Macaca fascicularis: one gene and its partners. The protein of the gene in region 3 purifies or fractionates together with the protein of the main gene of each other region. This does not show direct contact. Links are inferred from orthologs where the notes say so. Each region holds a gene or a part of one and is shown on either strand. Other genes may lie near its edges. The genes, in order: GDI1, RABGGTA, RAB5A, CHM and GDI2.

What was found.
Region 1: the proteins of RAB5A (region 3) and GDI1 purify together in Homo sapiens (affinity purification with mass spectrometry; 3 studies listed by BioGRID and IntAct, counting the BioPlex papers as one, with this or other methods). This does not show direct contact. The link is inferred for Macaca fascicularis from reciprocal best matches to the Homo sapiens genes RAB5A and GDI1.
Region 2: the proteins of RAB5A (region 3) and RABGGTA purify together in Homo sapiens (affinity purification with mass spectrometry; 3 studies listed by BioGRID and IntAct, counting the BioPlex papers as one, with this or other methods). This does not show direct contact. The link is inferred for Macaca fascicularis from reciprocal best matches to the Homo sapiens genes RAB5A and RABGGTA.
Region 4: the proteins of RAB5A (region 3) and CHM purify together in Homo sapiens (affinity purification with mass spectrometry; 3 studies listed by BioGRID and IntAct, counting the BioPlex papers as one, with this or other methods). This does not show direct contact. The link is inferred for Macaca fascicularis from reciprocal best matches to the Homo sapiens genes RAB5A and CHM.
Region 5: the proteins of RAB5A (region 3) and GDI2 purify together in Homo sapiens (affinity purification with mass spectrometry; 3 studies listed by BioGRID and IntAct, counting the BioPlex papers as one, with this or other methods). This does not show direct contact. The link is inferred for Macaca fascicularis from reciprocal best matches to the Homo sapiens genes RAB5A and GDI2.

What each region holds. Positions count from the first base shown.
Region 1 is NC_088395.1:160,436,950-160,440,904, reverse strand, and holds the start of GDI1 (rab GDP dissociation inhibitor alpha), read right to left. Parts: upstream 2,806-3,955; 5' UTR 2,711-2,805; coding exon 2,666-2,710; intron 1,399-2,665; coding exon 1,291-1,398; intron 1,159-1,290; coding exon 1,059-1,158; intron 918-1,058; coding exon 783-917; intron 1-782. UniProt on the Homo sapiens protein: Regulates the GDP/GTP exchange reaction of most Rab proteins by inhibiting the dissociation of GDP from them, and the subsequent binding of GTP to them. Promotes the dissociation of GDP-bound Rab proteins from the membrane and inhibits their activation.
Region 2 is NC_088381.1:92,086,105-92,090,336, forward strand, and holds the start of RABGGTA (geranylgeranyl transferase type-2 subunit alpha), read right to left. Parts: upstream 2,802-4,232; 5' UTR 2,747-2,801; exon of another isoform or gene 2,509-2,746; 5' UTR 2,374-2,508; coding exon 2,371-2,373; intron 2,256-2,370; exon of another isoform or gene 2,205-2,255; coding exon 2,094-2,204; intron 1,716-2,093; coding exon 1,537-1,715; intron 1,400-1,536; coding exon 1,212-1,399; intron 953-1,211; coding exon 749-952; intron 412-748; coding exon 328-411; intron 240-327; coding exon 157-239; intron 69-156; coding exon 1-68. UniProt on the Homo sapiens protein: Catalyzes the transfer of a geranylgeranyl moiety from geranylgeranyl diphosphate to both cysteines of Rab proteins with the C-terminal sequence -XXCC, -XCXC and -CCXX, such as RAB1A, RAB3A, RAB5A and RAB7A.
Region 3 is NC_088376.1:28,478,193-28,482,406, forward strand, and holds the start of RAB5A (ras-related protein Rab-5A), read right to left. Parts: upstream 2,720-4,214; 5' UTR 2,255-2,719; exon of another isoform or gene 2,162-2,254; intron 1-2,161. Other genes in the region: uncharacterized protein, read left to right, coding at 2,720-3,232, 3,893-4,060. UniProt on the Homo sapiens protein: The small GTPases Rab are key regulators of intracellular membrane trafficking, from the formation of transport vesicles to their fusion with membranes.
Region 4 is NC_088395.1:92,559,642-92,563,151, forward strand, and holds part of CHM (rab proteins geranylgeranyltransferase component A 1), read right to left. Parts: intron 3,188-3,510; coding exon 2,962-3,187; intron 1-2,961. UniProt on the Homo sapiens protein: Substrate-binding subunit of the Rab geranylgeranyltransferase (GGTase) complex.
Region 5 is NC_088383.1:6,738,715-6,742,743, forward strand, and holds the start of GDI2 (rab GDP dissociation inhibitor beta), read right to left. Parts: upstream 2,803-4,029; 5' UTR 2,610-2,802; coding exon 2,565-2,609; intron 1-2,564. UniProt on the Homo sapiens protein: GDP-dissociation inhibitor preventing the GDP to GTP exchange of most Rab proteins. By keeping these small GTPases in their inactive GDP-bound form regulates intracellular membrane trafficking.

The DNA of each region.
Region 1 (3,955 bases), on a different chromosome or scaffold from region 3:
TCTGCACCAACGCAGCACAAAACTCTCCATCTCAGCAGGGCAGGCACCCCCACTCCCAGCCCAGCTGTCCTGTGACCTTAGGTTAACCTCTCCACCCTTTTTAGCCTCAGTTTCCCCACCAGGATGAAGAGGGGATTGGCCTGGATGGACTCTAAGGGCTTTCCTGGCTTGGACACTTGGGGATGTCTTGAGGATCCAGTGGAGCCCCTGCCAAAGGCTCAAGTTTTCTTTGTTGTTGTTGTTTTTTGAGATGGAGTCTTGCTCTATCGCCCAGGCTGGAGTGCAGTGGTATGATCTCGGCTCACCACAACCTCCACCTCCCGGGTTCAAACCATTCTCTTGCCTCAGCCTCCCGAGTAGCTGGGATTACAGGTGTGTGCCACCACACTCAGCTAATTTTTTGTATTTTGAGACAAGACGGGGTTTCACCATGTTGGCCAGGCTGGTCTTGAACTCCTAACCTCGTGATCCACCCGCCTAGGCCTCTCAAAGTGCTGGGATTACAGGCATGAGCCACCGTGCCTGGCCACGCTCAAGTCTTTCAAAAGGAGTCCCGTTCCCCTCCACGTCACATCCCTGCTGCGTGGGGACCTCCCTCTTGGCAGCCAGCCATGCGGCATGACATGGGGCAGAGGGAATACAGAGTGAAGGGCCTCTGGTCCTTCATGGGGGAATGTGACTTTGGACAAAGGGGTGCCTTACTCTGGACAGCCACCCATCCCAAAGACAGTTGGCTTCCCTGCCACCCCATGATTTCTCTGGCTCAGGGGGCCCACACTCACTGGAAGCCAAGGCCTCAGTCTCAGTGGACGGCACTTTGTAGATCTTGCCCCCCTTGTAGACAAAGCTGCCCTCCACCACCTTGAAGTCCAGGTAGCGAGTCACTTCTGTATACAGTAGCATCTTTACCAGCTGCCCTGTGGGGGTGCACAAGGGCAACATCAGCACGGCTCTCTCCAGAGGTTCTAGCTGGTCTGGCTGTGCCTCCTTTGGAGCCTGACTGTCCTTAGGTCTTCCCTATCACCCCCGACCTGCAATACCTCCTTCCTGTCCCTCACCGTTAGCCATGAGGAATTTGGGAATCAGGTCAACGTTCCAGTCTCGGCCTCGGCCCATGGACTCAGGGGGCCCCTCCAGCAACTGAAAACGCTTATACAGCTGTAAGCAGAAGGGAGAGAGAGACACCTCAGGGACCACCTCCTCCTGCTCCAGGCACCTGGAGAGCTACTTCCACCCTGTGCCGCTGTGTGGGAGGTTAACAGGGATGGGCCTGGGCCCAGGCAGCCTCACCTCCTCCAGGGGTGTGATGGAGGAGCTCTCGCCCCCGTAGTAGGGGTTCCGGTCCATGTGCAGCACCTTCTTCCCGTTCACAGACATGATGCCCGACAAGATGCATTCCTGGGGGAGGGCCACACAATCCGCTGCACTCCCACCTTCCTCTGCTCCTACCAGCAGCCCTGATTTGTTCCCCACCCAAACCTGCCTCAGTGGACAGCTCCTTCCATCCACCACCCCCACCGGCTAGTTGCCTCGCCTAAAATTGGGGTGATGGTTTCATCCGACCACACTCTCCATTGCAACCTTGCGGGGTAAAGGAGACCGTCCCCCTCACAAGGCAGACAGTGAAATAACGGAGGCTTTGAGGTAGGCAGGGCATCCAGCAGACACAGGATGGCCTTCCAGTACCAACACGCCGAGAGGCATCTACCTACGCAGAGCCGCACAAAAAGGCGGATAAAACACAATGTGGCACAGAGGGGACCCAGCTGGACTGCGAAAGACACTCCAAAGGGAAGCAAAGAAAGGCTTAGCACAGTCCTTGAAATTGTAGGCCCCACCCTGGACTGCTCTTTCTTCAAAGAGCAGGAGCCCCTGCCGCTGAGGAGGGGCATCTGGGTCTGGACCGAGGGAGAAGAGTCTCTGAGGGGAGTGGGCCAACGGGATTTTCGGGGAAAGGGGGAAGATAAACACCCTCACCAGTCACTGTCACTAGCCCAAGGACAAAGGCTGCAGATGCTACTCAGCCTGAGGTCTCCATGGGCAACCGAGGTGGGGTTGCGGGAATGTGCTTACTGCCCCCACTGCTGCTCCTTCTGGAACATTCCCTGGATCCCCTGGCCCCAGAAGACGACGAGGGGGTGGGCTGAGAGCCCACCCTGGCGAGGCCCCCTGACCCCAGGTCCTTGTACTTCATCCTCACAGGGATTAGCGCAAGATGGGAAGGGACGCTGGGAGGCAACGCTAGGCGGGCGATGGGTGCGGGCGACGGGTGGATGCCGTGATGGGTGGGGGCGATGGGTGGGCGGGGTGGGGGCGATGGGTGGGCGGGGTGGGGGCGATGGGTGGGCGGGGTCGGGGGCAACGGGCCGAGTGGGGGTGCGTTTTCCGGTCCAGAGGGCAGGGGTAGGGAAGATGGGAGAGCGCCGGGGGTCGGACCCGGGTAGGCCAGGGGGCGGCCAGGAAGGGGGCCCCTTCGGGGAGATGGGGTCATGGCAACGAACAGAGGCGACATCGCGGGGGGAGCAGCGGGGTGGGCACGGCGCCGGCTTTTCGGGGAGCCGAGCGCAGAAGATGGCAGTGACCGGAGGATGGGCCGGCGGCCGCATCATCGCGGGGAATGGCGAGGGCACGACGCAGGGCCAAGGGCGCCCGGGGCCGCACTTACGGTGAGGCCGGTCCCCAGCACGATTACATCGTATTCCTCGTCCATGGTCAGGCCTCAGTGGCAGCGCCCGCTCGGCTCCTCCTCCTCCTTCACCACAGCAGTAGCCACCGCCGCCGCCGCCACCGCACTGGACCAAAGATGGCGGAGCGTCGGCCGCCGCCCGACCCCTCCGCCGCGTCAAAGAGTCCCGCCTCTTCCCGCGCCCCGCCGCACCCGGCAGGGGACACCGCCTTCCCGGCTCGCCTCCCGGGAGGGCTGCCAGGGCCCGGGCCACAGCACCAGCGCGGCTCCGCGGGCGACGTTGCTCGCCGAGAGTCCAGAGAGGCTCGGGGCGGGGCGGGCGGGGCGGGCGGGGCGGGCCGGCGGCCGGTGCTGCGGCCCGGGAAGGATCCATGCGCGGGAGCCGGGCGCGCCCCGCCCCGCCCCGCCCCGCGCGCGCCCGCCCCGCCCCCCGGGAGTCTCGGCGCGGCCCCGCGACCGGACGCGCGCCGCTGCGGCAGCCGGGGGCGGCTCCCTCACGACGCGAAGGCTGCCATTGTCACTACGGCCTCCTGAGACGCCGAAGCGCACCGGGACTCGGCCCGACCACCCCTCCCTGACCTAAGCGGTTAGGGCCCAGCTTACTAAAGCCCCTCCCGGTCTCCGGGGATGCCTCCTAGCCTCCCCCTCTCCAGGCTCCATCCTCCCGCATACCTCTGGCGAGCACGCGCCAAAAGCTCAGCGCAGAAATGAGCGACAAGAGGCCCAACGCATGGCGATCCTCGTTTACTTTATTAGGAAGGAAACAACCGAGCACCCCCTGCTCCTGCCAGGCACTTCCGGTGGGAACATGCCAGACAGCCGACGATCGCACCCAGCCCACCTGTGGAGGTGCCTTCCTTCTCAGGCCACAGAAATAAACCCCAGTGTACTGCTTATTGTTAGCACAACATCACCAGAAAACGATAACGACAGCCAAGCAGGACAGTTAAGTAGAACTTCCACACCCCAAACTCAGGGAGCCCTATAACCTTAAGGAGGGAGCATTTGCTACACAAAAACACTATCCACAGCCAGGGATGATGTAGACACAAGAATAAATAAGGAGAAAGGGGACCCTAGAATTCATGTCCCTTACGCCTCACAGCGACTAAGCCTGGAAAGCTGGTTGGTCTAGCATCTACGCAGAATATGTACACCTTGTTGGGAGAGATGGGGGCAGCCCAGGAAAGCTCCTCAGCAGGCTGAAGAGGGAGCAAGATGGGCTGAGGGGAGCTTGGGGTTCATGCTGCGGTAGGAAGAGGGAAGCTC
Region 2 (4,232 bases), on a different chromosome or scaffold from region 3:
GTCCTCCACTCTACAATCAGGGGAGAATCATCAACCATGAGCAGCAAGATCTCCGTCCTGGAGCCCACCTGGCACAAAGCACAAAGACAGACTTCAGCCCCATCAGCACCAGGCCCACAATCCCACAGTGCTCTTGACAAAAGCTGTAGGACTTACTAGGAGGGGCCGAGAGAAGGAGATGGTCAGACAGGCCTCGTCCCGGCTCACATGCAGGCAGCGCAGTGCATCCTGGGGGTCAGCTGCAGGGAGACACAGTGTCAGATTTCCTTAAACCCTCTCCCATTCCTACTAAGCCCTAAACACCCAGCCCCTTTCCTCAATGCTTACCTCGGCCTAGGAGCCAACGGTGATAAAACCAGGCACTCTGGTCATTGGGGTCAGTGAAGAAGGCATTCTGCACCAACTCCAGCTCTGTAGGTTTCCGGGAGGCATGGTGCTGTGGTCAGGACACTGGTGGGCTCCTGGCCACTCCAACACCCTACCCTCTCCTTGGAGTACTTCCAGCCCCCAGTGTCACTTATATGCTGTCCTTGCACAGGGGCTATGTATGTCAGTTTTATCTTCCCCATCAGACACTTGAGCTCCCTGCAGTCAGGGACTGATTCTTAGGCACCCCTGGAGCCAGGCATGAAGTAGGTGCTCAATAAACCTGAGACAGGTTCAGGAACAGGGTCAGGCATGGGGACTGGAAGGGTGGCACTGCAGAGTCCTCCCTTCTGTAGGAAGGAGGACCCCTCACCCTGCTTACCTTTGAGCAGCACATCCTCAGGGAGGCGCCCCTGTGGTCCAGAATCCGGCTGGGGGTGCAGCTGGGGCAAGAGACAGGAGCGGTAATGCCAGGACGAGTAGTTGGAGAAGTTTCGGGTGATGAGGCTGTCAGTGAAGGCTAGCTCTTCTGCAGGGGGCACGGCTGCCTGTGTGGCCACAAACCGCCGATAGTCCCAGCAGTGAACTGGAGGGGAGAGGTGACAGCATATCTTAGAGGCAAGGCAAGAGGAGCTACCTGGCTGGGACCCCTAGAGTCCCCTCAGAGAACTCCTAGAAACACTTCAGTGCACTCCACGGAGGAGGCATTTGACTCCAACATCCCTTTCAGCACCAGCTCAGTGGACCCATCCTGGATATCCCTCCCCATTCTGGGCCTTACTGAGGCCCCAGTACCAGAATGTGGGCAGGTGAGGGCTGTGGGGACAGAATCTGCAGGCACGTACAGTTCCGCTCATCCACCTCCAGGAAGCGGGCACAGAGCTCCAGCTCTCGGGCCCAGTTGGGTTCAGGCAGGCGGCCTAGCAGCCAGCATCGGTGGTGCCAGGTGCCATAAGACTTGGGGTTCACCCGCAAGCAGCTCTCCAGGAAGCCCAGTTCTGCCTTCACCAGAGCAGCCAACTCTTCAGGAGACCTGTACCCCGAAGGGAAGGGGGGTCAGGGCTCTCCTACACTCAACCTCAGCTCATCCCTCACTTTCTGCACCCAGCCCCCTACTGTCCTCCATCTATGCCACTGGCTGCCCCATTCCTCCTCCACCCCTGGACCCACGCAGTGTAGGCGCAGGGCCAGGGCAGTCTTCTGAGATCCTGAATCCCTACGCACTTCTGAGTCTCCAGCTGCTGCAGCACCTCTCGTCGGCAGTTCCAGAGGGTGGCAAAATCAGGGTTGGCTCCCAGAATCTGACTTGTCAGTTCCAGCACTGACTCATCCAGCTCACCAGCCTGGCGCTGAGAAGATAGGTGGCAGGGTCAGAGATCATATCACTTTCCCACCACAGGACTAAATAACGTAAACTCAAAACCACCCAATATTCTGTGAATCCCACATTATACAACAGATACTATGAACCATGCTTTATGGCCTTACAGGTATTCTCTCATTTAATCTTCACAACGGCCTTATGCAGTAGGTGCAATTATTAGTCCCATTTTACAGATGTGCAAACTGAGGCCCAAAGAGATCCAGCAACTTGTCCAAAGTCATACAGTTATAAGTGAGAGAACCCAGAACTGGATCTAGGCAGTCTGACTTTAGGGACCAGCTCTTGGCCTCCATACTATACTAAGAGAGCTACTTGGGGTCGGGGCTACCTCTGAGGGCCCCACCTTCTGGAAGACGGCCTGGGTGGCTGACTGGTATAGCTTCAGCTTCTGCTCTCGTTCTAGCCTTTTGGCCTCCGCCTGCTCTTCTGACGTCTTCACCTTCAGGCGTCCGTGCTATAAGGATGAACGGGTTGGAAGAGTGCAGGTTGCCTTGCAGGAGCCGACCTGCAAAAGCCCCACACTGTGAAGCCCTAGGTTCATACGGGGCAACCAAGTGCACGACCACTGCGGGTGAGGGCGCGGGCGTGCGGAGATGAAGGGCTGGGCTCAGGGTTCTCACCATGGTGCCGGCTCAGGGTTCAAGACAGGGGAAGGGTCCAGTGGTAGCCCTCGAAGTCTGAGGAGAGAGGTGTCAATCACGTAGCCCCGCCCCCTACTAGCACCGCCCACAGCGGTTTCCCGGAAGCAGCAAGCGTGCCTGGGCAGAGACCCCTAGGGTGTAAAGAGGTCCTGGGACAGGCTTTGCACATTCAGCAAGAGGCGAACACCCGTACTAGAACTTCCATCCGTATGGCCCTTCCTACAGCCCGATTCGCCCGGGCCAGAGCCCGAGCCGGGGCACCTGGGCGTTAGGGACCACTCTGCGCACCAAAGGTTGCCGCTCCCCGCCCGTCCCACGGCTCCCGGGCACCCCCGCCCCCCGCGGGCGGACCCACCTGCGCTGGGAGGAGGCGCGGGGGATGCGGAGCTGCGGCGCCCGCCACAGAGCCCAGGCGCTGGCTAGAGCGGCGCCACGTCCTGGCTCACCGAAACGCAGCGCCCTCTGCAGGCTTGGGGAGGGACTTGCGACGGAGGAGGCCGGCTCGGAGGCGCGTGCGCGGGGGCTATGCGCTCGCTGTCTGGAAACGCCTCGTACCTGTTAGCCACCTAGTGTGTACGAGTGCGCACGCGCGACTGTACCGTGCGTGTGAAATAGTGGGGAGGACCATGCCAGTTGGCAACTCAAAATGTAGTGTAGTTAGTGGAAGAGGTTTCTCCAACAGCCAGAAACCCGCACCTTCACTACTCCACTGACCTCACCCTGGCCACACCGACACCCTTCTATATGTCAAATCTAACAGGTGGAGTTGCCTGTCATTTTCTCTAACCTCTGAAGCATTTGACCCACTTCTTTATACTTGACACCCCCATCCTGGCTTCTCCTCCTGCATCTCTGCCTCTCTCTTCTCATCTGTTCACCTCCACCCCTAAATGTTGGTGATCTCCAAAGGGTCCTTTCCTCACTGCTTTTTCACTTCACACACTGTTCCTGGGAGAATGTTTAAGCGTTCAACTGCTTCGAGTTGGAGCTCCTCAGAGCTGTTTTGGCCCACAAATCTGGCATTACACTTTCCCTGGGTGAGTTCATTCACACTCATTGTTTTAATTACTACCTGTAAATTGATGACACCCAAATTTATATCTCCAACCCAGATGTCTTGCAAGCTTAAATAACAATAAATAATATACATCACATACATATTCAAACACCTATTGGATATCACCTGGTGTCCCAGAGACACCTCAAACTCCAAAAGCCAAAAGGTATAAATTTTCTCTCATCCATCCTCTCTAAACATTGGCCTTTACGTTTTCTATTGTAGTGAGTGGCACTATTTCCTCCTCACTTCTTAAACTCGCTTAAATACTCTATTCCCACTGCCACTAGAAGTTCAAACTCCGAATTTCTTATCCAGATTGTTGAAAGTCTTTTCAATGTTCTCCACCTCATCCCTTGTTATCAGTCCATCCTCTGTGCTGCTGAATCAATTTTTCTAAAATGCAGATTTGATGTCCTATCTCTGCCTGAAAGTGCTGAGTGGCTCTTTTTCAGGATAGAATTGTAATCTCTCAGCTTAGCACATCAGACCTACTGGCATTTGGGCTCTGCCTACTCTCTGGCTGTATGTCCTGCCTGACCCTGCCAAAAACCCTTCATGACAGCCTACAGAAATACTTGAAGTTTCCTAAATGTGTTAGCCTGTTCCCTCTCCTTGACTCTCCTTTCTCTACACTCCTCCTTTGCTGCAGTAAATCCTGTTTAAGATTTAACTTTTTGAACTCCACAGAACAAAGAAAAAAAATTTAACTCAATTGGCACCTCGAGGAAGTTCTCTAAAATGCCCGTCTGATTTGATAGACCTACATATGTACTTTCAAAGA
Region 3 (4,214 bases):
ACACAGAAATGCTAACAGTTGTTCTCTATGTGGTGGGATTATTACTGACTTATTTACTTACACTAATTGTAACTTTTTTGTAGTTTTTAGAAGAAAAAATGCATGACTTTTTTTTTTATTATGAATTTTTTTGAGAAAGGGTTTTGCTCTCTCACCCAGGCTGGAGTGCAGTGGCATGGTCATAGCTCACTGTAACCTACACCTCCTGGGCTCAAGCAATCCTGCCACAACCTCCTGAGTAGCTGGGACTACAGGCGCTCAGAACCATGCCAGGCCACTTTTTTGGTAGAGACACTGTCCTGCTATGTTGCCCAGCATGATCTTGAATTCCCGGGCTCAAGCAATCCTCCTGCCTCAGCCTCGCAAAGGGCTGGGATTACAGGTGTGAGCCACCACACCCAGCCTGCAGGCCATTATTTTTTATTTAAACAACACATTAAAAAATCTAGCCTGAATGGCAACTTCTGTGCTAATTTTTAATCTCTAAGGAATTAGTGAATATTTGAAGAACCTTTTTCAATCCACTCACAAACCAATCTTAACAGTTTCCTTCTATCTTTAATCAAAATCCGAATATATGCTAATATATTAAACCTGATGATTCCCTCTCTAAAAACCCTGCTATATTTCACTTAGCTACCTCATGTAAGAAATATGTCTTTCACACTGGACACAGTGGCTTATACTGGTAAATTCCAACACTTGGCGGTTGAGGAAGAAGGACTGCTTGAGACCAGCCTGGGCAACAGTGAGACCCTGTCTCTATATTAAAAACAAAAGAAAGAAATACGCCTTTCCCATAAAATCAGTTTATAATATGCTCTTGATACTGAATTCCCTAACATGTCCACGAGATCTTAGTTCTTAAGGCAATAAAACTACCTCCCTGCCTTAACTAAACACCAGCTTTCTAGAGTCCTTATCTTTTACCATTACATTCTGAAATATGTACAGATTAATTGAGGTAATATCTGAGTTGCTTCTAAATAACGACATATAAATAAAAATCCCCCTCCCCACAAACATACCAGACTTGGGGGTCTAATCCTGGCTATACCAATTTCCGCCTGGGCAAATTCTTTAATTTCCAAGTCTCTATTCCCATAATATCTAACTTGCATAGCTGCTGTGACAATTAAATGAAACAATACATGTAAACAATCTCTAATAAACATAGTAGGGATTGAAATTGTCAATAACGTGGTCCTTTGATAAGAAAATATCTAGAGAACATCATATGTACTGAAAATGCACCAATACAGCTTCAGATATTACACAAGCAGTATCAATTAAAACATTTTCCATTTGTCTTTTTATCTACAAAAACACGAAATTACTTATCAAGGACAACATGCTCCAAATTTCTACGGTACTTTCAAAATTTCAGGCAAAACATCAGATTCCCATAAAAAAAAAAAATCAAACAAGATTCTGATTTCACTTTGACTTTTAAGGTTTAAAGTTACTTAACTGTGGCTACTCCCCTTGAGGATCTCAAACAGGAAATAACTAGAGTTAATAGTAAATACACACTTAGCATAACACGAAGGTTAAAAATTACGTGTATTCATTTGTATTCACTGCTTACTGAAACTTGTTTTGCAAAACAAGAATTTTGCATAATATACATTTGTAATCTTTTGAAAATAACTGTTATTCATTCTATAGTTAAAATCCTTCTAAGTGTTCTTTGATCAAAAAATTGGGCACTTATTTTGTGCCAGGCACTGTTTCATGTACTTTGCTTACACAAATGCTGAGTTATCATTTCCATTTTACTTTAGGAATAAAGTTTATGAGCAGTCTTGAGTATTCCCAGAGATGTGCAAGTGTTTTTTCTTATTATGTAAAAGGCAACTGATTGAACGCTTTGATTCCACTTAAGCAAGACAAAAACCAAGTATGTGAACTATGACGTTCAGAATTTAAAAGTTTGAAAGTCTCAGAGGTAAACAGCTTCCAGGAAAGATAACATCAGAACAAGTTTCATGGTCACTACCCATTGAAGGAGTTCAGCGGTCCTGTTATCTCGAATTTATTTAACGCTGTAGTTCACTACCTTCCATACATAAGACAAGAGTCTCTAGACGGCCCATTTTGACGAGTCTCCCACCCACCGACACTACACGTCTTTGGAAGTTGCAGGTAGGCGGAGCTCCCCACATTCACACCTGCAGTAGGCCCGGGTTCCTGCTTGGAGAGCACCAGGGTAGCTTATAGCCAACTCCAGATCGCCTGGATAAGCACCACTCACCAGGTCCCTTGGCCTTTCCAACCTCCTCCCCCGAACCTGGCTGGCTTTGACCGAGACCCCCAGGACTGCCAGCACAGGGACCAGGCGGAACCGCGGCCTCCAGTACACTTTCCACGGCGCCATCTTGAGAAGGGAAAGGGTGACACCCGTCGCTCCCTCAGTCAGTCCCCAAATCCCGGTCTCCAGAGCCCCTTGAGGATGAGTCACCAGGGCTGGCAGAACAAGACGCCGGGTTCGATAGTTCTCTGGTCCAGGCTACTGCTGCGCATGAGGGAGAAGGGGCGGGGGTCTTAGTACCCGCAGGGCCGCGGACAGGCTGGGGATCGCGGATAACCTGGGGTCCAGACCCCCACTGCGCAGGGGGAGAGGCGGTTCGGTTACCTGAGACCGCAGCAAGCCGGGCTGCGGGGCCGAAGCTTCCTGGCACCAAGGCCCAGGCGTGGCCCGTAGGATGAGTGTGTGTCTATGGCGGTGGTGGTGGCGGCGGCGGCGCCGTCTGCTCTTCGCGTCGCTCCCCTCACACTGGACTGTGCGGGGCTCTTGCCGTGGTGCCGCCCCTGTCGGGCTCCGTCTCCGCCTCTCGCCGCTCCGCCTTCCTCTTTCCTTTCCCCTCCTCCGCCGCCGCCGCCGGCGCTGGAGTTCCGACGAAGTCTTCCTCCTCCTCCTCCCTCTGCCTCCTCCCCTAAGGCCAGCCGCCGGCTCCTTCACGAACCAAAACACAAACACTCAAGTCCCACCGCCGGAGCCACTTCCGCTGTCCGGTGTCGGCCCCGCCGCCACGTCGCCGCACGCAGCGAACTACGCCCCTTCGTCACTTCCCGTCATCGCCAGTGCCCCCGCTCCATCCGCTTCCCCGCCCCTTTCCGAATCCCTCCCCGCCCAGGTCTGTTCGCGGGGCGGGGCGAGGCAAGATGTCACGTGACCCTGCGAGTGGCTCTGACCGGAGCTGGCCGCCTTTCTCCCCTTCCCCCACCCCAGGTACACGCGGCCACGCCCTCTCCAGCGCCATTGTTATTTGGGCTGGGGGGGTCTCTGGGCTCCCGGCGGCCGGGTTCGGGGGAAATTCTTTTACTATGCTTTGGGGGAAGACCAAAATATCTTATTTTTTTGTTTGTTTTTTGTGCCCAGCCCTTGTGGGAGCGGCAAGGTTCCCTCACCCCAATCCTGGCACCTCGTCGAAGGGGCTTTATTAGAGAGAACTTGTCTAGCACTAGAGAACCTCCCCCCAAAAAATGTCCCTGGGGTTGGGTGGGTCGGTAAAGGCTGGTAAAACGCATTTACCCCAAGTAGGAAGAGAGGACCCTTCCTATCCTAAAAGCCGCCTTTAGGCGCCTGACAAAAGTCGCTTCTATTAAGAGTTTACGTGGTTTTGGTAGGGGGCGGGGAGGGCCAAATCCTAAAATAGCATCTACCTTTTATTCAGAATCTCTCTTCGCTCTTTACTGTACTAAATGCTTTACAGGAATTATCCAATTGAATTCTTACGCTAGGAGTCTTTCATTCTGAAACTAACTTGTTAATCGTTTGTTCCCTACATTCGAATTTTAGTTCCCCTTGGTTGTCCTCACCGCTGTAAATCTGTGTCCAGCCCAGTGCCTGGCAGCCAAGTTTTCAGTTCTAGTTGTAGATATTTTACAGGTAAATAATTTGAGACACAAGAGATTGAGTAACTTGTCCGAGATCACTGCTGTGTGGTGCCTAAGCTGGATTCTGATCTGCGGGTTGGCTCCAGAACATGAGTTGTTGAACACAATTCTGGTGAAAGACTACCCGAGACGTCGTTACCCTCCTCGGGGGACCTACTGAAGATGTGAATCCCATACCATAGTCAGTCTCTGGAAAGGCTTCTGCCACCAACCCCTCCCCAGCCTCCGCCAGAAACATTGTTTTGGTAATTTGGTAGAAGAATATTAAATTGATTTTCCTTCAGAATAAAGGCAACTTTTCAGTTTGCAGTTTA
Region 4 (3,510 bases), on a different chromosome or scaffold from region 3:
AACTTTAAAAAGTAATCTCAATTAGAATAACCACAAGTGCAATTAAATACCTAGGAATTAACTTAATTAAAGAAGTGTACAATCCCTACAATGAAATCTAGAAAACACTGATGAAAGATATTGAAGAGGACACAAAGAAATGGAAAACTATTCCATGTTCATGGACTGGAAGAATCGATATTGTTAAAATGTCCATACTATGCTAAGCAATCTAGAGATTTAATGAAATCTGTATAAAAATACCAATGGCGTTCTTCAGAGAAATGAAAACACCCTAAAATGTATATGGAGCCACAAAATACCCAGAATAGCCAAAGCTATCCTGAGCAAAAAGAACATAACTGGACGAATCACATTACCTTACTTCAAATTATACTACAGAGCTATAGTCACCAAAACAGCATGATACTGGCATAAAAACAGACACATAAACCAAAAAGCAGAATAGACAACTCAGAAACAAATCCACACACCTACAGTGAACTCATTTTTGACAAAGGTGTCAAGAATATACACTGAGTAAAAGACAGTCTTTTCCATGAAGGGTGTTGGGATAACTGGATATCCATATGAAGAAAAATGAAACTAGACCCCTATCTTTTGCTGTATATAAAAAGCAAATCAAAATGGATTAAAGAATTAAATCTAATGCTGCAAACTATAAAATTACTACAAGAAAACATTCGAGAAAACCTCTAAGACACTGGTCTGGGCAAAGATTTCTTGAACAATGCCCCACAAGCACAGGCAACTAAAGCAAAAATTGACAAATGGGAACACATGAAGTTAAAAAGTTTCTGCACAGCAAAAGAAACCATCAACAAAGTGAAAAGACAACCCATATAATGAAAGAGAATATTTGCAAACTACCCATCTGACAAGGAATTAATGACCAGAATATATAAGTAGCTCAAACAATTCTACGGTAAAAAAATATAGTATGACTAAAAAATGGGCAAAAGATCTGAAACATTTTTCAAAAGAAGACATACAAATGGCAAGGAGACATATAAAAAGATGCTCAACATCACTGATCATCACAGAAATGCACATCAAAACTACAATGAGATATTTTATTGCCCCAGTTAAAATAACTTTTATTCAAAAGAAAGGCACTAGCAAATACTGGCAAAGATATGGAGAAAAGGGAACCCTTGAACACTGCGGGTGGGAGTGTAAATTACTACAACCACTGTGGAGAACAGTTTGGAAGTTCCTCAGAAAAGCAAAACTAGAGCTACCATACGATCCAGCAATCCCACTGCTAGGTATATACCCAAAAGAAAGGAAATCAGTGTATCAAAGGGATATCTGCACACCACATTTATTGCAGCATTGTTCACAATAACCAAGATTTGGAAGCAACCTAAGTGCCCAGCAACAGATAAATGGATAAAGAAAATGTAGTGCAGTTACACCATGGAGTAATATTCAGCCATAAAAAGAATGAGATCCTGGCTGGGCGCGGTGGCTCACGCCTGTAATACCACCGCTTTGGGAGACGGGTGGATCACGAAGTCAGGAGTTCACGACCAGGCTGGCCAAGATGCTGAAACCCCATCTCTACTAAAAATACAAAAATTAGCCAGGCGTGGTGGCACACCTGTAATCCCAGCTACTCAGGAGGCTGAGGCAGGAGAATCACTTGAACTCGGGTGGCAGAGGTTGCAGTGAGCCGAGATCGCACCACTGCACGCCATCCTGGGTGACAGAGCAAGACTCCATCTCAAAAAAAAAAAGAATGAGATCCTGACATTTGCAACAATGTAGATGAAACTGAAGGTCATTACATTAAGTGAAATAAGCCAGCCACAGAAAGACAAACAATGCATAGCCTCACTTATTTGTGGGAGCTAAAAATTAAAACAATTAAACATACGGAGACAGAGAGTAGAAGGATGGTTATCAGAGCCTGCGGAGGGTTTTGAGGGGGCAGCGGTTAAGTGGGAATGGTCAATAGGTACAAAACGTAGTTAGAAAGAATGAATAAAATCTAGTATTTGATATCACAACAGAGTGACTACAGTCAATAATGATTTAATTGTACATGTTAAAATAAAGAGTATAATTGGATTGTTTTCAACACAAAGGATAAATGCTTGAGGGGATGGATACTCCATTTACCATGATGGATTACACTTTGCATGCCTATATTAAAGTACCCCACAAACTTATATGCCTCCTATGTGCCCACAAAAAATAAAATTTTTTTTAAAAATGTGTAAAACAAACAAAAAAAGACACAACAAGTATTTCCTGAAGATAAAACATGAATGGCCAGTAAACACATGAGAAGAGGCGCAACTTCACAGCTAATTAGGGAAATGAAAAATAAAAATCCAATGCAATGATAATTTATATGAGTTAGATTGACAAAAAAATTTTAAATACTGGCAAACATGAAAAGCTTTGGGTATTCTTATGTACTGCTAAAAGGTTATAATTGGTACAGCCCTCTAGAGAAATAACTGAACACGATGTTGTAAAGCGTTGACATTCGTGTATCTCATGACTTGGAAATTCCACTCCTAGATATGTTTCCAAGAGAAATTATTGAATATATATAACTTGAAATATTCACAAGGGTGTTAACTGCAGAAAAACTGGAAACATCCTGTGTTACATCAACAGAAAAATGAAAAAGTAGACTGTGGTATATTCACAATAAAATATTATGTAGCAATAAAAATTAACTAAAATTATATGCAATGACAATACTTTCCATCACGCTATTGAGTGGAAAAAGGAACTTATAGTATTTTTATAAAGCTCAAAAACAGGCCACACTGAATATATCACTTAGGTGGGTAGATAGCCAGGTATATCAATTATAAAAAAAAAAATAAAGTATATATTTGCATGTACTAAATCTTGAATAAATCTCATTTTTGCGTTCCTAATTCTCACCTGTTATTTAAGTATCACCTTTAGAAGGGACAAGAAAACCAATGGCAAACTTACCTGCAGAAACACTGGGGGAGTTCTCCTTGGCCATACAAAGGAAACAAAAATGGAGTGTTGCCATATCGCCCAAGACAGTGAAGAAAGTTTCTGGTAGCTTTGAGACCATCTATGGTACTGCTGGCTGTCTCTGATGTCATTGCAATTGAATGCAGGACAATATATTGGAGGTTGGGGGTTAATTTTTGAGTTTTTAAATATTCATAAAATGTAATATCTTCATATCCTATGAAAAGATGAAATTTTATCACTTAAAATCAGAACCAAACTTCTATTTAAAAGCACCCCACAAAAAGGAGATGAAGTGTGTTTCAAAAGACCTCAAAAAGGACGTAGGTGGTATTACATTTTGGACACTGATGGTTGATCTTAGAAAAAAGTGGAAACAATCTCGCTCTCCAATTTGGAGTAATGGCACAATTTTTAAGCTTTATATGATTGAGCATTTCATGCATTTAAAAAAATGGAAAATATTAAATAACTCAATGGGTTACCATATTTGGCAATAATCTCACTTTATTGTTATGAAACCTGCAGGATAATGCCAAT
Region 5 (4,029 bases), on a different chromosome or scaffold from region 3:
TGTTTCTTAGTTTGTTAGAGAAGTTGTGACAGCATTTAGAAAGGCATTATCCAAAAGCTGTGCTCTTTAGAGATAACCCTTAATTCCTCAGAAAATTAAATTGTGTGGAATATTCCATTTCTTTTACACACAGAATGAAGATTTTACTCCTTTATGCCAAATCATTTTGTATCTTCTTGATTAAAATGACTATCAATATTTGTGATTACGAGCTTGGACTTAACAACTCATACAAACAATGGCAGCACTAAGCAACACAGCAACTCCAGCACTTCCTTACACTTCTTTAAAAGTAACAAGTTCCTAGCACTGAAAGCACTTGCCTTTTTTAGGTTCTTAAATCTCAGGCACTAAATATAAAGTAAATTTCAAGAAAATTAATTTAACTTCAGACACTCAAAAGTTAATTCTGAGTGCTAACTTTGGTTTTCTCTTCTTCTAATTTTTAGTCATCTAATTCCTGGTAACACTAAAAATAAGGATATAAGATTTCTCATTATCAAAATCATCCTGTCATCACTACTCCTATCAAGGATGGTAATAATGTGATTCTTCTGAATTGATATAATTATCAAAGAACATCTCAGAAAACTTAGGCAGGCTAACAGAGATTAAAGTTATCACAGCTACAAAATGACAGCAGAAATTGGTCTGATTTCTAGTTAAGTATGCATCTACCATTTATCAAAAAGTTCACAATCCAAATGAAAATTTAAACGAAGTGCATTATCTTAACTTGTTATATAAAAAGACTGTTTCACCATCTTTGATACAAAGTGATGTGAATGGGGCTTGTGGAAGCCTGCATGATGGTGGATTTGCACTCACTCGTCCATGCTCAACTGACCTCGATTGTGAGCAAATCTGAAAGACCAGCAACAACCATAGAAAAACGGTGGAACTAACCGGCTCTAACAACACGCTGGCAGCAGCACTACCCATTCCAACGGGCAAAATCCACCACAAACTACTAAGCGCAGTTTGGAATCCCAATTAGGCACTTAAAAAAAAAAGCACAAAACCTGCAGTGGGTAGGGCCTATTCATTTAGGCATCCAACAGTCTTCCAGCTTTTCAAAGACATTGACAGGATTATTCCTCAATTTGTCAAACATAACAAAGTATTCTGAATGAATATTCTCTAATAATTGCATATAACTATAAACAGAAAAATGACAGGCCAGAAAAACACCATTCTAAGTCTTAACAAACCTTTCTTAAAAAATTAGCCAAATAAAAGTTCAAAGGTTTTTTCTTGACTAGAGACATTTGAAAGTGTTATTTTGGGATGTTACCTGTTAAAAAAAAAAAAAAAAAAAAAACATTAGTTTGAACCTGACAGATTATAATAAATTTCAAAAAATTTGAAGTGGAAGTCTACATTAAATGACACAGGAATTTAAAGTCAGAGTACATAGGATACACAAGATTTACATCAGTATTCATCTTAATTATGATCAAGCAGCCCAAAGTTAGAATTTCAAAGTTCCCAAAAATCGATAGTTAAAATGGTTTTCTCCAAATTCTTTTGCAAGATGAAGTCTTCATAAAAAAAAAAAAAAACAGAAAAAGTACAAACTACAGAACCTGCCTGCATTATCTACAGTTAACCTAAAGCTCTCTAAGCAGACACATAACCAGGAAAATCAATATACCATGGTATTAGGTACACCTTGCATTCATATATATACTACAATGCATTCTTCATGTTGTTACTGATTTATCTTCCAACTCCCTGAAGAAAGCTGCGGAGTACAGAGAACTTGGCCTTTAGCAATCCATCACCAATCCAATTCTTAGGGGAAAAGAGTCCAGAAGAGACAAAGGAGGCAGGGAACCCACCAAACAAAAGGAAAAGGCGGCGAAGGTCAGGTGCGAAAGCATTTGATAGACAAGTTTTGAAAAAACTCAATTCCAATTCTACAGATGCTCGGTAAGTGGGAAGGGAGGGTGGCTAAAAAGATTCAATAATACTTCTTATTAGCAGGGGGGAGAAAGGATTAAAAGCCTAATTTCTGCCTTTTCTCCAAAAATATAAGTTAATCAAGCCCTAGCAGTTCCGAAGCAGTGATTATCCAAGACTTGTCAGGAAACCCCGTGCTCGGCTTTGGCAGCCAGACAGACCCGGGGAAGCGGCCGAGGCGGAATAGGAAATGCAACCGCGAGGCCTGCACCGTCCCCTCCGCCTCGGGTGCTAGTTTCCAACCCGGAGAGGTCACTGGCCCAAAGTGGGGAGCGGGAGCCTCGGCCCGGGCCGCCTTCTCCCTCCACTCCGCTTCCGCAAGGGGGAAGCGCAGCGACCGGGCTCCGCCGTTACCCCGCCCGGAGCCTCGCGGCCCGCATCTCCATTTCCCCGCCTGCCCCTCACACTGGGAGTCGCCCGATCGTCCCGGGACGCGGGGCGCCCCCAAACCCGCCCGTGCCCCCAGCCACGACTCCCGTCCCGAAAACCACGGGTGACTGCAGAACGAAAGCCCCCAGGAGCTGCGACCCGCGGGCCGTGCAGGAGCCGGGGATGCGCCCGCCCCGGCTGCTCAACCCCGGCCCCTCAGCCCCGGCGCCCACCGTCAGGCCAGTGCCCAGCACGATCACGTCGTACTCCTCATTCATGGCGGGGCAGGCGCGGACGCAGAACCAGAGAAAGGAAAAGGCGCAGGGGCTCGGTGACCACCCTACGAGGCTGGCAGGCGCTCTCGGGCGCGAAGGAAACGGGAAGAGAGGAGAGGAAAATGGAGCTGGCGACAAGGCGAGACCTGCCGCCACCTCAGACGGGAAGCGAAGAACCGGGCGGGGAGAAAAGGGGAGGGGGCAGGGAGGGGAGGGCGGTGACTGAGCCTCCGCAGCCGGGGCGGGGCCTGCAGGCGCCGGGAGGGCCGCCAATCAGGCGCTTCCGGCACTCTAATTGGTTTTGTCCCCGTCACTCGCCCAACTTTTTTTCTTCCCCGCCTCTCGCGAGAGGAAAAGGGCGGGGCGTCGCCATTTTGGCTTCCGGTTCCCTTTGCGGTTTCTGCCACCGGGGTCTGGGAGGCGGCGCGTGGACCGGGGTGGAGGCGCACGGGACCGCGGGAGGGGAGTACTGCCGGCCACCACGGTTCTGACTCCCGCCGTCGGGGCGGGAGCTCGCTCGGTCCAAGGTCCCAGAGCCGGACCGCCGTCCTTGGACTTTGAGCGGGTGCGTGCGGCGGCCACGTGGGCGAGGAACGTGGGTCCGGCCGCCTCTCGCGGGTAGCGGCCTTGGTTCCTCCCGCGGGGCTGGGCTCGCCGGGGCCCGGAGCCCGCCGGGAAGAGTTCGGAAATCACACGTGTCCTGTTTCCCGCTCTGTGCCTTCCCTGTTTGGTGCGTTGCCGGTGGGCGCTTTAGGAAAGTGGTAGGAGGAAAAGCGGCTTCTTTTGCTAAAAGGAACCCTTAACGGAGATGAAAGTGAAGGCCAGGTTTCATTGGGAAGCCGATCCGCACTTACCCAGGGCTATAACTTAAAGCCACTGTAAACGTGGTAGCTGATCCTTGGATGCAAAGGTTTAGGCCCTAAGCTTAGAAACTACCTTGCTTGCCTTCTAACCCCCTCCTCTTTTTCTAGAATTCTCTTAGGAATCTCTAACTTCATTGAGGACACGGGTGTAAGCAGAAGCTGTGTTCTCAGCTCCAAGAGGCAAATCCCACGAAAGCCTAGGCAGGTGAATTTCCTAAAGGCGATGACAGTTGGAAAACCTGTGTTTTCAGCACGTGATAAATCTGCATAGTCAGCAGACAATGAAGATTTGGCATTCAAGAACTACTCAAATACTTCTCGGTAATAGCTATCATGAGCCTGCCTTGATAGACCGAACTTGCTCATATTTAAATCATCAAGATTGAGGAGAGAATGTAACAACTTTTAAAAATGTTTCTTAACCCGTAAATACTTGGAGAAGATGTGTTATATTGGACCATGGACCTTTTGCAAGGGGAGGGGAGAAGAAAGCAAAAGTAAAGTTTAAATTTATATTCAACCTTAATTTGATTGTGTATATTTGTCACCAAATAAATTAG